3 linked regions of the Saccharomyces cerevisiae S288C genome follow. The protein of the gene in region 2 binds, or shares a complex with, the protein of the main gene of each other region. Each region holds a gene or a part of one and is shown on either strand. Other genes may lie near its edges. A codon is read from its position in the direction of its gene.

What was found.
Region 1: the proteins of ELP4 (region 2) and ELP6 are in contact, whole or in part, in a crystal structure (PDB 4A8J), measured with the Saccharomyces cerevisiae proteins. Residues at the interface, in NP_015224.1 of Saccharomyces cerevisiae: Val265 (codon at 812), Ser266 (codon at 809), Leu269 (codon at 800), Ser304 (codon at 695), Ser305 (codon at 692), Ile308 (codon at 683), Gly309 (codon at 680), His312 (codon at 671), Gly313 (codon at 668), Arg315 (codon at 662), Ser316 (codon at 659), Lys319 (codon at 650), Lys320 (codon at 647), Tyr322 (codon at 641), Pro338 (codon at 593), Pro339 (codon at 590), Val342 (codon at 581), Leu343 (codon at 578), Asn346 (codon at 569), Met347 (codon at 566), Thr390 (codon at 437), Asp391 (codon at 434), Arg392 (codon at 431), Gly393 (codon at 428), Glu394 (codon at 425), Met395 (codon at 422), Val397 (codon at 416); in NP_014043.1 of Saccharomyces cerevisiae: Ser38 (codon at 2,568), Cys39 (codon at 2,565), Thr40 (codon at 2,562), Gln41 (codon at 2,559), Leu43 (codon at 2,553), Trp44 (codon at 2,550), Phe82 (codon at 2,436), Ile83 (codon at 2,433), His84 (codon at 2,430), Glu85 (codon at 2,427), Asn87 (codon at 2,421), Tyr88 (codon at 2,418), Phe108 (codon at 2,358), Leu109 (codon at 2,355), Ser110 (codon at 2,352), Asp111 (codon at 2,349), Phe112 (codon at 2,346), Ile113 (codon at 2,343), Val114 (codon at 2,340), His118 (codon at 2,328), Gln150 (codon at 2,232), Leu153 (codon at 2,223), Ser156 (codon at 2,214), Leu157 (codon at 2,211), Val158 (codon at 2,208), Ser159 (codon at 2,205), Asn186 (codon at 2,124), Asp188 (codon at 2,118), Ile189 (codon at 2,115), Ile192 (codon at 2,106).
Region 3: the proteins of ELP4 (region 2) and IKI1 are in contact, whole or in part, in a crystal structure (PDB 4A8J), measured with the Saccharomyces cerevisiae proteins. Residues at the interface, in NP_015224.1 of Saccharomyces cerevisiae: Thr115 (codon at 1,262), Thr116 (codon at 1,259), His293 (codon at 728), Pro294 (codon at 725), Pro299 (codon at 710), Phe302 (codon at 701), Glu303 (codon at 698), Ser304 (codon at 695), Ser332 (codon at 611), Ile335 (codon at 602), Thr337 (codon at 596), Leu340 (codon at 587), Gln359 (codon at 530), Thr362 (codon at 521), Glu363 (codon at 518), Glu366 (codon at 509); in NP_012057.3 of Saccharomyces cerevisiae: Ala2 (codon at 2,159), Ser3 (codon at 2,156), Ser4 (codon at 2,153), Glu115 (codon at 1,820), Thr118 (codon at 1,811), Asn151 (codon at 1,712), Asn152 (codon at 1,709), Asn153 (codon at 1,706), Tyr154 (codon at 1,703), Pro155 (codon at 1,700), Thr159 (codon at 1,688), Leu160 (codon at 1,685), Phe163 (codon at 1,676), Lys209 (codon at 1,538), Ser212 (codon at 1,529), Gly213 (codon at 1,526), Arg214 (codon at 1,523), Ser215 (codon at 1,520), Leu216 (codon at 1,517), Glu217 (codon at 1,514), Tyr218 (codon at 1,511).

The regions. Positions count from the first base shown.
Region 1 is NC_001145.3:896,559-901,083, reverse strand, and holds ELP6 (Elongator subunit ELP6), read right to left. Parts: upstream 2,680-4,525; coding exon 1,858-2,679; downstream 1-1,857. Other genes in the region: TGL3 (bifunctional triglyceride lipase/lysophosphatidylethanolamine acyltransferase), read left to right, coding at 1-1,705; PP1-complex regulatory subunit GLC8, read left to right, coding at 3,481-4,170; UPA2 (putative methyltransferase), read left to right, coding at 4,415-4,525. UniProt on the Saccharomyces cerevisiae protein: Component of the elongator complex which is required for multiple tRNA modifications, including mcm5U (5-methoxycarbonylmethyl uridine), mcm5s2U (5-methoxycarbonylmethyl-2-thiouridine), and ncm5U (5-carbamoylmethyl uridine).
Region 2 is NC_001148.4:357,817-361,812, reverse strand, and holds ELP4 (Elongator subunit ELP4), read right to left. Parts: upstream 1,605-3,996; coding exon 234-1,604; downstream 1-233. Other genes in the region: FMP30 (N-acetylphosphatidylethanolamine-hydrolyzing phospholipase D), read left to right, coding at 2,407-3,813. UniProt on the Saccharomyces cerevisiae protein: Component of the elongator complex, a multiprotein complex which is required for multiple tRNA modifications, including mcm5U (5-methoxycarbonylmethyl uridine), mcm5s2U (5-methoxycarbonylmethyl-2-thiouridine), and ncm5U (5-carbamoylmethyl uridine).
Region 3 is NC_001140.6:478,448-483,151, reverse strand, and holds IKI1 (Elongator subunit IKI1), read right to left. Parts: upstream 2,163-4,704; coding exon 1,233-2,162; downstream 1-1,232. Other genes in the region: GPI-anchor transamidase subunit GPI16, read left to right, coding at 1-1,147; ubiquitin-binding TORC1 subunit KOG1, read left to right, coding at 2,480-4,704. UniProt on the Saccharomyces cerevisiae protein: Component of the elongator complex which is required for multiple tRNA modifications, including mcm5U (5-methoxycarbonylmethyl uridine), mcm5s2U (5-methoxycarbonylmethyl-2-thiouridine), and ncm5U (5-carbamoylmethyl uridine).

The sequences.
Region 1 (4,525 bases), on a different chromosome or scaffold from region 2:
TGAGTGTGATACGTATCAAATGTGGTGTCAGCAAGCGTCCGTAGTGGATGAAATAACAGGCGCAAATTTATGGCGGCGGAATTTCTTTTCGAGGAGGTACGACTTCAATTCTGTCATTGAACAATATAGCATATTGGAAAATATGTTAAGGGAGGAGAAGTATGATGTAGTTAAGGAGAAGTTTTCGACTACAGGCCCTTGTATGTTGAGGAACTTTGCGGGTATTGGAGATAAAAAGTTGTTCACAAAATCTTTGATGGGTACAAAGCTACTTATTGAACAATATTTGACCCGAATTCTAGAAGGCTTGGATATATTAAATAATCAAACTTTAACTCCAACATCCTTTTTCCAAAGATGTAAGTTGTCACTGGGCACAACAGCATTAATCTTGCAAGGTGGTTCATTGTTTGGGCTGTTTCACCTTGGGGTGATTAGAGGTTTATTGTTACAGGACCTGATGCCTAATATTATAAGTGGTAGCTCTATGGGGGCATGCGTTGCAAGTTTATTCGGTTGCTTGTCCAATGAGCAACTAAAGCAATTATTGACCGATGACAACCTCTTGAATATCATCAAGAATGATGTAGATTTATTAAAAAGCTGTGGATACGGTAATTTAGAGCAGCACCTAAACCTGGGGACTTTGATTCAGAACCTAATACACCACGGTTATTCTCAAGACGTTTATCTTTTTATCCGGTTTGTTATGAAATATATTGTTAAGGAAAAAACTTTTGAAGAAGTTTATCAAATTACTGGAAAAGTTTTCAATATTGTTATTCATCCAACTGATAAATCATGCCCTAATTTACTAAATTATGTGACAACCCCAAACGTATTAATCAAGTCAGCCATTGAATGCTCACTTGGTTCTGGTGTAATTTCAGAGGATACATCACTATTATGTAAAAATTTAGAAAATGAAATTGAGCCTTTTCTTAACATCAATAAAAATAAACAAGTCAAATTTCTTACCCCAGAAAATGCCAACAATCCGAGCATAACGGAGAGCCCCTATACTAGGTTAACGGAACTATTCAATGTTAATAACTTCATTGTTTCTTTGGCGAGACCATACTTGGCACCATTGGTGGTAAATGATTTGAAGCATGAAATAAAAACGTCAAAATATTACTATTATAAGCATTATCCAAATATGCCTCCTATAAACGCGAATACAGTAAGAAAAACACAGAGATCCTCTTCGCAATCACCCATAAAGGCAGGAACTGTCGAGGATCTTGAGCCAGAGCCTTTAATGAGCCCTGTGCCCCCAAGTTCGGCAGTCAACGATTCAGCAGAGTACATAATCCCAGAATTGGGCATACCGCAGTTGAACTTTACTGAAATGGAACCGCTGGCGTTTAAATTTAAGTATCATCTGGAAAGAAAATTAAAAAATATTGCCACTATGGAATTTCGACATAGGATGGAGGTATTGGATAATTTAGGCCTGTTGTGCTCATTAATAAAAAGACTAATAATTGATGAAAAGACTCCCAGATCAGCTACGGAGATTGCTGTGGTACCAAGGATGAAAAGTCTATCATTAACAAGGATTATTGAAGGTCAACTAAACAACATTCCATACTGGATAAAATCTGGTGAACGAAGTACATGGCCCGCACTAGCTTTAATTAAGACAAGATGTGCAGTCGAATTTAAATTAGACGACATAATAAGAGCAAGACGGAGTAGGTAGTATCGTTTCCACTTTTTTCTGTCTTATTTTTTTTATTGATAGAGCTCGATTGCATATATTTTTCATTGATATTGTACTTAAAAATATATTCAGTTCATAGAAAAAACAATAATACGAGAATCAATGTGCCTCGTATATAATCTTATCATTATTTAGCGATAAAATAGTTTTGTTGACTCCTTCTCATTCAGATATAGGTATTCATTTTCAACGACGTGTAGGCTTGTGTTTGAAGTTGCAATGGGTGCGCCGCCCCTGCAAACGTGCAATGAGCCGGTTACGTCCTTTGCAAAACCGGTCTTCAGAGGATTCAAGTTCAAATTAATCATTGATTTGATAAAGGAAGATTTGTAGAAATTTTGCAGATTCGAGGAATGAACAGAAGCATCGTATTCATCTATATTAAATATGTCCGAATTGGAAACAATGATTAGCACTTTGCATTGCCTCAAAAGAGGTGTGATGAACTTATTGTTTAATTCTGAACAAGTTAGGCCGCTTACTAGCGACAACAGTAATTCTGGTTGTTCGATGATAACAATGGTGTCAGTTGGGTTATTTTGTATAGCAGCGGAGAACTTTGCGAGTACGTCACTTAGTATTTTGTCTCTTGGCTTATTATGGATATTATTAACGATGAAGTCGGACAGGAAGTCTAAAACATTGTAGTTATTAGATGGGATCTTTAGCTTGTTTAATGAATTTGTAAAATAGTTCTGTTCGTGGATAAACGACGCAAGGACTGCATGGGAGCGAGTTGACGAAGGTAGCATCGATGAAGAAGATTCATTAAGGGAACTTGGGGAACCTAACACGTGCGTTTCTACTAGTGCGTTTATCATCCATAGTGGTTGAGTACAGGATTGATGGGTGATGAAGAATAAGTTATGAGAGTTGCTGTCTTGGAAAAAGTGGGCAGGAAGCACTGATTGGTCGCTGAATAGGACCAAATCTTGTCGTTGAACACTACCCATAAATGTGTATTTAGTTATTTTTGTGGAGGTTCTGGACGGTTTTTGCCTAACTTCTACTAGCCTCAATTTAGTACTTTTATTTTTTTTTCATTTTTCATTCTGCTCATCGCCTATCAATTCATGCCTAAGAGATGCAAAGATAGCGTACTATAGATGTGAAAAGTTGGATAAACAAAGCCCATGATATAAGCCACGGCTTCAGCCTTAAAATTGGGGTTAAAGGCTAAGAACGAATTGCAAATTCTTTTGCTTCAGCAGGAATTTTCCAACAGCAAAGTATAAAAAATCTATCTAAGCCGCTTTTAAATTAAGGAGCGTATATAAAATTATATAATCACACTCGAAGGACCAATCTGTGCTCTACATACCTTACGCGCTCTAATAATATGATCTATGCTTCATCAGTCTTGTTTATTCTTAAAGTATTTTTTTTTATGTTTGGTTCTTGTTATTGAACAAAAAAATGAATTAACCCGAACACTACCAAATCAATAGCAGAAGAAAAGAAGAAAATGATAAAATAAAGGTGAGAACCATTTTAAAGCATTATTCATTATGAAATCCTCCTATCTAGTATAACTTGATTCGACACCTTGCTAATATTTCTCTGAAGCACTGTCTTTAGAGGCAAAACGGTACTATCGCATATTCTTACCCGGTTTCAAGTTTTGCCCTCACGCTTTTTTAGGGAGAAATGACTTCCACCGAAAGGATAATTTGAGAACACCACTACAACTTAAAGTCCAAGAGCTTCATCAGTACAACGAGTTCGTATCATCAAGAACGCACATCAGCAGAATAATGGGAGGTATACTTAAAAACCCGCTAGCCTTATCGCCGGAGCAGCTGGCGCAACAGGATCCAGAAACGCTTGAAGAGTTTAGAAGACAAGTTTACGAAAATACGCAGAAAAATGCCAAATTGACATCACATAAAAGGAATATACCGGGACTAGATAATACAAAAGAGGAGGGGGAGATAATTGGAACATCGAGTACCTTCCTTCCAAAGGACACACTGTCACTGAAACATGAGCAAGACATGTTGGCCAAGATGACACCAGAAGAGCGAGTTCAATGGAACCAAAGAAATTTAGCAGAAAATGAAATAACAAAAAAGCAGTTCCAAGATATTCACATAGACGAGCCCAAGACCCCCTACCAAGGTGCTGTGGACCCTCACGGGGAATACTACAGAGTAGATGATGATGAAGATGAGGATAATAGTGATAAAAAACCATGCCAGGTGGCAAACGATGACATCGACGATTTGTCCCTGGGCGAACCGGAATTTGAAATCAAAGAGAACAAACAACCGGATTTTGAGACCAACGACGAGAATGATGAAGACTCACCGGAGGCTAGACATAAGAAATTTGAAGAAATGAGAAAGAAGCATTACGACGTAAGGGCAATTTTCAACAAAAAGTCCCGTGAAGCGCTAAAGGACGAAGACGAAGACGAAGATGATAGTACGACAAAAGAACCATGAAACATGACACCTCCATAACGTTTACCTATACTAAATATATCTTATTTTTTGGATTCTTGGTACATAAATATGCACTGTTTGTTATCACGCGAAACGAACTGATTTTTTAACAAGCTTTATTTTATACATGAAAAATTTCCCATCGATGAGCTGTGATCGGCAAGTGAGAGTACTCTGTTTCACAACTACTACCGGTCCCAGGAATATATACTACTGACCACAAAGCTGTGTATCACTTAGTTTGATGAGCAGCACGAGGAAGTTCAAAAAGGTTGAGAAACCTCTATCACAAACCAGACATTATTCACTCTGTATCCCCACGACATTGGTATCGGACTGTCGCAACCTCTCTCAA
Region 2 (3,996 bases):
ATTCTTTCTGCAGCTCACGCTCCTTTTTTGTTAATATTCATTTCACTTTTTCATATTTTGACATCTAGGCGATACCTTTTTCTACCTTCCAGCTGCCACCGCTTAGAGTCAGGAAAAAGACGATGGATATATATATAATAGTCGTATTTAAGATATAACAGATAAAAAAATAATACATTCACCACGCTTGTTAAAAAGCATGCCGTATATTTCCCATAAATTGAACCATATTCTTAATAGTCTAAAGATATCTTGGTCTTCTTTGCAGGTATATTATGTGAGATTTCATCCGAGTGCGAGTGTGAATGTGACTGTTCCGAGGCAGCTGAACCTTCAGCATCATCCACGGGTATGCCCCATTGTTCTATTTCAAACTTTTTTCTGCCATTCTTAAATGCCCATTCAGACTTTAAAACTCTCATCTCTCCACGGTCCGTGAAAACTGGTAATTTCAATATGTGGACTAGCCCATGTTGAATCTTCCCCGGTTGCGATTTATAAACACGTTCTAAGAACTCAGTCATCTCCTGGTTAAAGGGTTCTAGATTGATAACAGAATCGAACATGTTTCTCAGCAATACCAGTAATGGGGGAGTGATAATGTCTATGGATATGGAAGCAAACAGTACAACCCGCTCATAGTATTTCTTGACAAGACTCCTCACACCGTGCATTAAACCTATTATTTCAGATGATTCAAACATTTTGGGCGGATACATTGCCGGATGTAGAAGGGAAGGAATAACAATTCTTATCAGTTTCTTGTCATTCCTTTTAATAGTCTGTTCTATTTGGCTCAAAATAGTGGAGACAGGTTGAGTTGGGGCGATAAATGTCAGTTCAGATGCTATGGGAGCGGGCATCAGACGCGTTGTAATATCAAACTGATGATTGTAGTCCTTGTACTCAGAATTTTGTTGGATGTCATCTCGATCCGGAGAACCCAATCTCTTTTCATCTGCCAGTTTATATTTCCATGCAATTTTCAGGTCTTTGTACCTGGAAGGCGTCGATCTCTGGGTCTCGTTCAAATTTTGAACAGTAACTTTTGATTCTTCTTCAGAGATTAGGTTTTTCTTCATTTGTTTACGTGATCCCTTGTAGATACCAGGTAGCTCCTTTGCAAACATTTGGTTCAATGACAAGACAATGACATGAGTGTCGCCGTTTCTAGTTTTATCAGCACTGCTATCTGAAATTCTATTATGAACGATACCCTGTGCGGCAAACAGTTTACCGAGAATAGAGTGAAATTCTGTCGTGCTCTGCTCCTCTACTAGTACAGAGTTTCCCAGCGGCAGCCCCATATGGCCTAGTATACTGTCCAGGTCAGCACTCCCAGTTGATGTCGTCGGCTGAGAGGTTGCAGGAGAAGGTCTAACGCCCACATGGGAGCTATCCAGCCCCATTTTTGTCTTGGATTCGTCCGCAATATTCAACTTCTTTAATCTCGCTGTAGTGTCAGACAAGGGCACATTTCCAGGGGCTCTTCTGTTGCCTGTCCTCAATGGCGTTGAGGAAGTTCGTGGAGGACCTCTTAACAGTGGACCTCTTAGCCCGCTACCTCTATCGTTCAGTATTTCACCTCTTTTACGAAATGACATGGTACATGCGATATTTGGGAGCCGAATTTGTTATACAATGTTGTTCTCTGCACCTCATCTCTAAACTATCCAGCCTCATCGACATCTTCATATGTCGTTTTTGTTATTTTAACAGTTTAGAGTTCATTCCATGCGCTTTACCCGGTCTGGCGTCAAAAGCCATCAATAACATAGCTACTATTGCGTCTGAGAGAAGTCGACCATAGGGAAGAACTTGCCATCTGGTTTTGAGTTAGTTAGAATTATCACTATTGAAGATAGCCCAGCAAAATGCTTGTGCAAGAAAGCACATCGTCTAGTGGCCTTTTTTGAAGAAAGAATTGGAACTACTTTAGAAATACATTTACCACAGTGAGTATATGACACTGATATTCTCCTTGATTATCGCCCAAAATACATTGTAGGCTTCAAAAAGATTAAAATATCAATTAAAAGAGAGAGAATAAATAGGTTAAGGCCCAAATTACAATAGCGGCCTCCTATTTGTCTTTTCCATTCGATGCGATATTTATCAGTATTATATGAGAACAAATGGTGGTATTATAAAAAAAAAATATTATAATGAGATATATGTCTGATTTTAATAATAAACTTTTTAGCTAATGATTCCTTCTGCGTTCATTTTCTGAATATTATCAACAGCTGCTAGTTTTTTTTTTCCTTTACTGTCGTTAAGCAGTTCCCGAAGACTCACTACTGATGCTTAACAAAAAAAAAAAAACGTAGTTCGAGAATAGCGAGAATATGGTGTGAACAGTAGCACTCCAATTACTGAAGGATTGCATGCCTGCTTGTGTTGCAAATGAATTTTGTTACCTGCCATGTTCAGATGAGGCTTCTTCTCCAAAGGAGACTAGTGCGTTTACGAGAATCAGAGCTGTTTAGACCCCAGACATCATTGTCAACTTTCAAAAGACATGCTTCGCAAAAGACACGCCCTATACAAAAATGCTCGAGAAAATACGCACGTATACTTCTGTTGTCTGTTTTGGTACCTTACACAGGATATGCGTTTTATGTATCATTGGCTACAGTGAAGCAAATTGATTTAAGAAACGAAATGTGTCAAAGATTAGAGGAGAATAATAACGAGGTCACTTATAAGGGATCCTTGCTAAAATATAGCCCTTTGGAAGTTTTAGGCAGATTTGAGAACCCGTTCGAAGAATACAGGATTCAGACCGTTTTTGAATTCTTTGCAAATAGAGTGTTCGAATTATTTGAAAGAAATAGGGGAGGTATTCCACGTGATGTACACCAAATGAATAAGTTAATGCCTGTACACAAGCCAACATGGGGGCCTAACTTAGTGGACGTCGACCCCGCAGAGGAAACGGCATTGCCGCTAGAATGCAAAGTGTTAGACGAATTGCACATACCGACTGCAGTAGAAGAAAATGAAGGATCAAAGTGCCCAGTCTATAACACATGGCTGGGCCAGTCCTGTAACTACACGGTTTATAATGGATTGAGGATACTTACTGATCCTCTGTTCAGTGACTTTCTTATCCACAAGACCCTGGGTCCTAAAAGAATTACTCAAATGCCATCTCAAATTACAGAGGTGCCCAAACCAGATATCATCCTTGTATCCCATAATCACCCCGATCACCTGGATTTAGAAAGCTTGGAATACTGGAGTGGCAAAGACTCTCCCTTATGGATAGTACCTAAAGGAATGAAATCTTATATGACAAGTAACGGCTGTGATAATGTCCTAGAATTATCTTGGTGGGAAACTTTGCAAGTAAAGAAAAACAATGAGATATACCACATATCGGCTACTCCTGCCATGCATTGGTCTGGGAGATCGCTCTTAGATACGAACAAGTCTCTATGGTGCTCCTTTTTATTAACACACCATGGTAATCCCATACTTTTTCATGCTGGTGACACTGGATATGTGAAAGATTTATTCGTTAGAATTAAAGAACGCTTTGGCAAAGGTTGTAAATTAGCGCTGCTTCCATGTGGTCAGTATTGCCCTGAGTGGCACCAAAAACCACGACATATTAATCCTCAAGAGGTTCTCAAGATTATGAAAGATCTAGAAGCTCGAAATGTATTAGGCGTTCATTGGGGGACCTTTGTATTAAGCGGAGAATATTTCTTAGAGCCAAAGGAAAAATTAGAAATGTTGGCCGAGTGGGGTGGGTTTAAAGACCGCTGCTACTGTCCAGAATTGGGCAAGACAGAATGCTTCGACTAACTTAGGCGCTAATATTTAAGCTGCAGCGTCCCTGTAAATAGCGATAAATTACAGTAAACGTAGACTTTGGGAGATTGTACTCACTGAACATTTTATGATTTAATGATTTTGTAATTTAAAAACATTCGTATGATATCCAATAAGATGTTATAAAGAAATTACAATTAATGTTGATAAAAAATC
Region 3 (4,704 bases), on a different chromosome or scaffold from region 2:
ATTGTTCGACTCTCTATGGAATAGTATTTCCTTGGATATTGCCACTATTTGTTCTGAAGATGAAGATGCTCTTTGTCACTACGAGATGGACGCACGCATAGAAATGGTAACACACGTTCCCTCCGCCTTGGCAAGAGGTGAGAGACCTATCCCCAAACCTTTGGATGGGAACACATTGCGTTGTGACACGGATAAACCCTTTGATTCTTACCAATGCTTCCCTCTACCGGAACCTTCGCAGACTCACTTCAAGCTGTCTCAGCTGTTTGCCAGACCAATAAACAATGGCAACCTGTTTGCTAATAGGCCCACAAGAATTTGTGCAGAAGTTGACCGTTCTACCTGGACTGCGTTTTTGTCAGTTGACGATACTATTTTCAGCACACATGATAATTGCTTTGACTTATCAAACGATCAAAATGAGGGTGGTTCGGGCTACGACTTTATTTTAGAATCGACGGACACTACTAAAGTTACTCCCATAGTTCCTGTCCCAATTCACGTAAGCAGATCTCTGACTGGTAATGGACAAGATCGTGGTGGAATGCGTATTGTTTTCCATAACGACAATGATACCCCTGTGAAGTTGATTTATTTCGAATCATTGCCATGGTTCATGAGAGTTTACCTATCCTCTCTTCAAATTACTTCTACTACCTCTCCGCAATTGCAAGAAAACGATATCATCTTAGATAAATACTATTTACAAGCGGCCGATAGAAAAAGACCTGGCCACTTGGAGTTCACGATGTTAATTCCAGCTAATACGGACATTGTAATGACTTATCAATTCGATAAAGCTCTTCTGCAATTTGCCGAGTATCCACCAGATGCAAACCATGGTTTTGAAATCGATGCAGCTGTAATCACCGTGCTATCTTTGGAGTCCTCATCGTCTCTTTATGAAATGAGAACCTCTACCCTATTGTTATCCCTGTCTACACCGGATTTTAGTATGCCGTATAACGTCATCATTCTAACATCTACAATCATGGGACTCATATTCGGTATGCTATACAATTTGATGGTGAAGAGAATGGTCACCGTCGAAGAGGCCGATAAGATTACGTTGCAATCTGGCTTAAAATACAAATTGCTAAAGCTAAAGGAAAAGTTCCTAGGGAAAAAAAAGACTAAAACAGACTAACAATCTAGCATCTAGATATGTGTATGAAGTATACGTAGTTTACATAATCTGGAAGCACTCACTATTTACCATCAGTTTCTACTTTTTAAAAGGGATCCTCATATGGATCCTCTTCATCATAATCGTCATCCTTTTCGTACTCATAAACAATAGCACCCCCTTGTCCAAAGCTTTGTGCCTCCAGAAAAGGCAATGCGACTTGATCTTTGGCCAGCTTCTGTTTGTTGGATGTTCCTAGGTTGAATGTTGTTAATCCTTGCAACATTTCGGGTGTCTCCAGTCCGTTACTACTGCTCTCCTCTTCTTGCTTAGTGGTTGATAATAATTCATATTCGTGGGTGTTTGAATTTACTATGAAGTCGTATTCCAATGACCTGCCGGACTTTCTTTTATTAACAAGTCGTAATTGAAATATATCGTTATTTAACCCGCGAGGAATTCTAAATTCGTTTAACAATTCACTCACCTCCTCAGTATCGAGAGTGCCTGTTAATACCACATCAATATCTACTATTGTAGTGGCCATAAACTGCAGTAAAGTCAACTTATCAGGATAATTGTTATTCCAATCAGGTATTACCGTACGGTTCTCATCTTTGATGTCTTTATGATAAGTCGCAACCATCGTGCAGTGAGGAGAGGCGATCTCAGACAAAAACCTTGTTATGTATTCTGTAGAAATATAGTTCAATGAATCGATAATGACCATGTGCTTTTTTGCCTGTGTGGCAGTAGCAGCCGGTAGATATGATATAATTTGTTTCACTAAATGTACAAAATCCATCTGCGTAGCGTCAATAAATTGAGTACAGTACGATGGTTTATTCACTGTTTCGAACGAAATGTACACAATTGGATACTCATTTCCTTTACTCTTGCTCTGGTGGACGAATTCTTGGATGAGCTTGTATGAGGTCTGGGCAATAGAATCTAAGCACAAAATGAAAGGGGAGCTTTCTGTGAGCGATAAGATTCTTTTCAAAAGAATGACAGGGTTATGTGACGAACTGGCCATTATATCTTGTTCTACCTGTAGCAATAGCTTGGGTTGGAGCTATTAAAAAGCTCTTAAGTTATCATTCTCCAGAGGTTATAATGGCATCGCTTCTTATATTTGGATTTTTCAAGGTGACCCGCACTATGAGATGATAATCAAGGCAGCATTAATAGTATCAAAAATACTTTAATAAATCATCAATAGGTAGTACTTTACATAAGTATATAGAGGATTTTAAAACTTGTAAAGTTATTTTCGAATGCATTTGGTTTGTAGATTCCTTTGATTACATTTAGCGAATCCTATTGCATGCAGAGAAGGGTAAAAGATACATAATGCCGGAGATTTATGGACCTCAGCCATTAAAGCCACTCAATACGGTGATGAGACATGGGTTTGAAGAGCAATACCAAAGTGACCAACTTTTACAATCACTCGCGAATGATTTCATATTCTACTTTGATGATAAACGACACAAAACTAATGGAAATCCGATTCCTGAAGAGGATAAACAACGAGATGTAAATCGTTATTACCAGCCGATTACCGATTGGAAGATTATGAAAGATCGACAGAAGACAGTAAGTGCGGCCCTTTTATTATGCTTGAATTTAGGTGTCGATCCCCCTGATGTTATGAAGACACATCCCTGTGCCAGAGTTGAAGCATGGGTAGACCCATTGAATTTCCAGGACTCGAAGAAAGCAATAGAACAAATTGGTAAAAACTTACAAGCACAGTACGAAACTCTGTCTTTGAGAACACGCTATAAACAAAGCTTGGATCCTTGTGTAGAGGATGTCAAACGGTTTTGCAACTCGCTAAGAAGAACTTCTAAGGAAGATAGGATACTTTTCCACTACAACGGACATGGTGTGCCTAAGCCTACAAAATCAGGTGAAATTTGGGTTTTCAACAGAGGTTATACACAATATATTCCGGTATCTTTGTATGACCTGCAAACTTGGTTAGGTGCGCCATGTATATTTGTCTATGATTGCAACAGTGCTGAAAATATATTAATCAACTTTCAGAAGTTTGTGCAAAAGAGGATTAAAGATGATGAAGAGGGAAATCATGATGTTGCCGCGCCATCACCAACTTCAGCTTATCAAGATTGTTTCCAATTAGCCTCTTGCACTTCCGATGAACTTTTACTTATGAGTCCGGAACTACCCGCAGATTTGTTTAGTTGTTGTTTGACCTGTCCAATAGAGATTAGCATCCGTATCTTTCTCATGCAGTCACCCTTAAAAGATTCTAAATATAAAATTTTCTTCGAAAATAGTACTTCAAATCAACCGTTTGGTGATAGTAAGAACTCGTTCAAGTCCAAAATACCCAACGTCAATATCCCTGGAATGTTGTCGGATAGGAGAACGCCGTTGGGAGAACTAAATTGGATTTTTACAGCTATAACGGACACAATTGCATGGACATCCCTCCCCCGACCACTTTTCAAAAAATTATTCAGACATGATTTAATGATTGCTGCGCTTTTCAGAAATTTTCTTCTAGCCAAAAGAATAATGCCGTGGTACAATTGCCATCCTGTATCTGATCCAGAATTACCAGATAGTATAACCACACATCCAATGTGGAAATCTTGGGATTTAGCCATGGATGAAGTACTGACTAAAATAGTCATTGATCTGAAAAATGCTCCTCCCGCTACTGCCTTAGAGAGTCAGATGATTCTACAACAACAAGAAACCTTACAGAATGGTGGCAGCTCTAAGTCGAATGCCCAAGATACGAAAGCCGGAAGTATTCAAACACAATCGAGATTTGCAGTGGCCAATTTAAGTACAATGTCTCTAGTAAATAACCCTGCTCTCCAATCAAGAAAATCTATATCTTTGCAAAGCTCACAGCAACAATTACAGCAGCAGCAACAACAACAACAACAATTTACAGGATTTTTTGAACAAAATTTGACTGCTTTTGAATTGTGGTTGAAATATGCTTCAAATGTCAGACACCCGCCTGAGCAGCTTCCTATCGTTTTACAGGTTCTTCTTTCGCAAGTGCATCGTATACGTGCGTTGGTACTTTTATCCAGATTTTTAGATTTAGGCCCGTGGGCTGTCTACCTGTCACTTTCAATAGGTATCTTCCCCTACGTTTTGAAGCTGCTACAAAGTCCAGCACCTGAGTTGAAGCCCATCCTAGTTTTTATTTGGGCCCGTATCATGTCAATAGATTACAAAAACACGCAAAGTGAATTAATCAAAGAAAAGGGTTATATGTATTTTGTTACAGTGTTAGTACCTGATTGGGGTGTTAATGGCATGTCAGCTACAAATGGCTCAGCCATGATAAATAGTGGGAACCCGTTGACAATGACTGCATCGCAGAATATAAATGGTCCATCTTCAAGATATTATGAACGCCAGCAAGGAAATAGAACATCCAACTTGGGCCACAATAATCTTCCATTTTATCATTCTAATGATACCACCGATGAACAAAAAGCTATGGCTGTCTTTGTTTTGGCATCATTCGTTCGAAACTTTCCTCTGGGGCAAAAAAATTGTTTTAGTTTGGAACTGGTCAACAA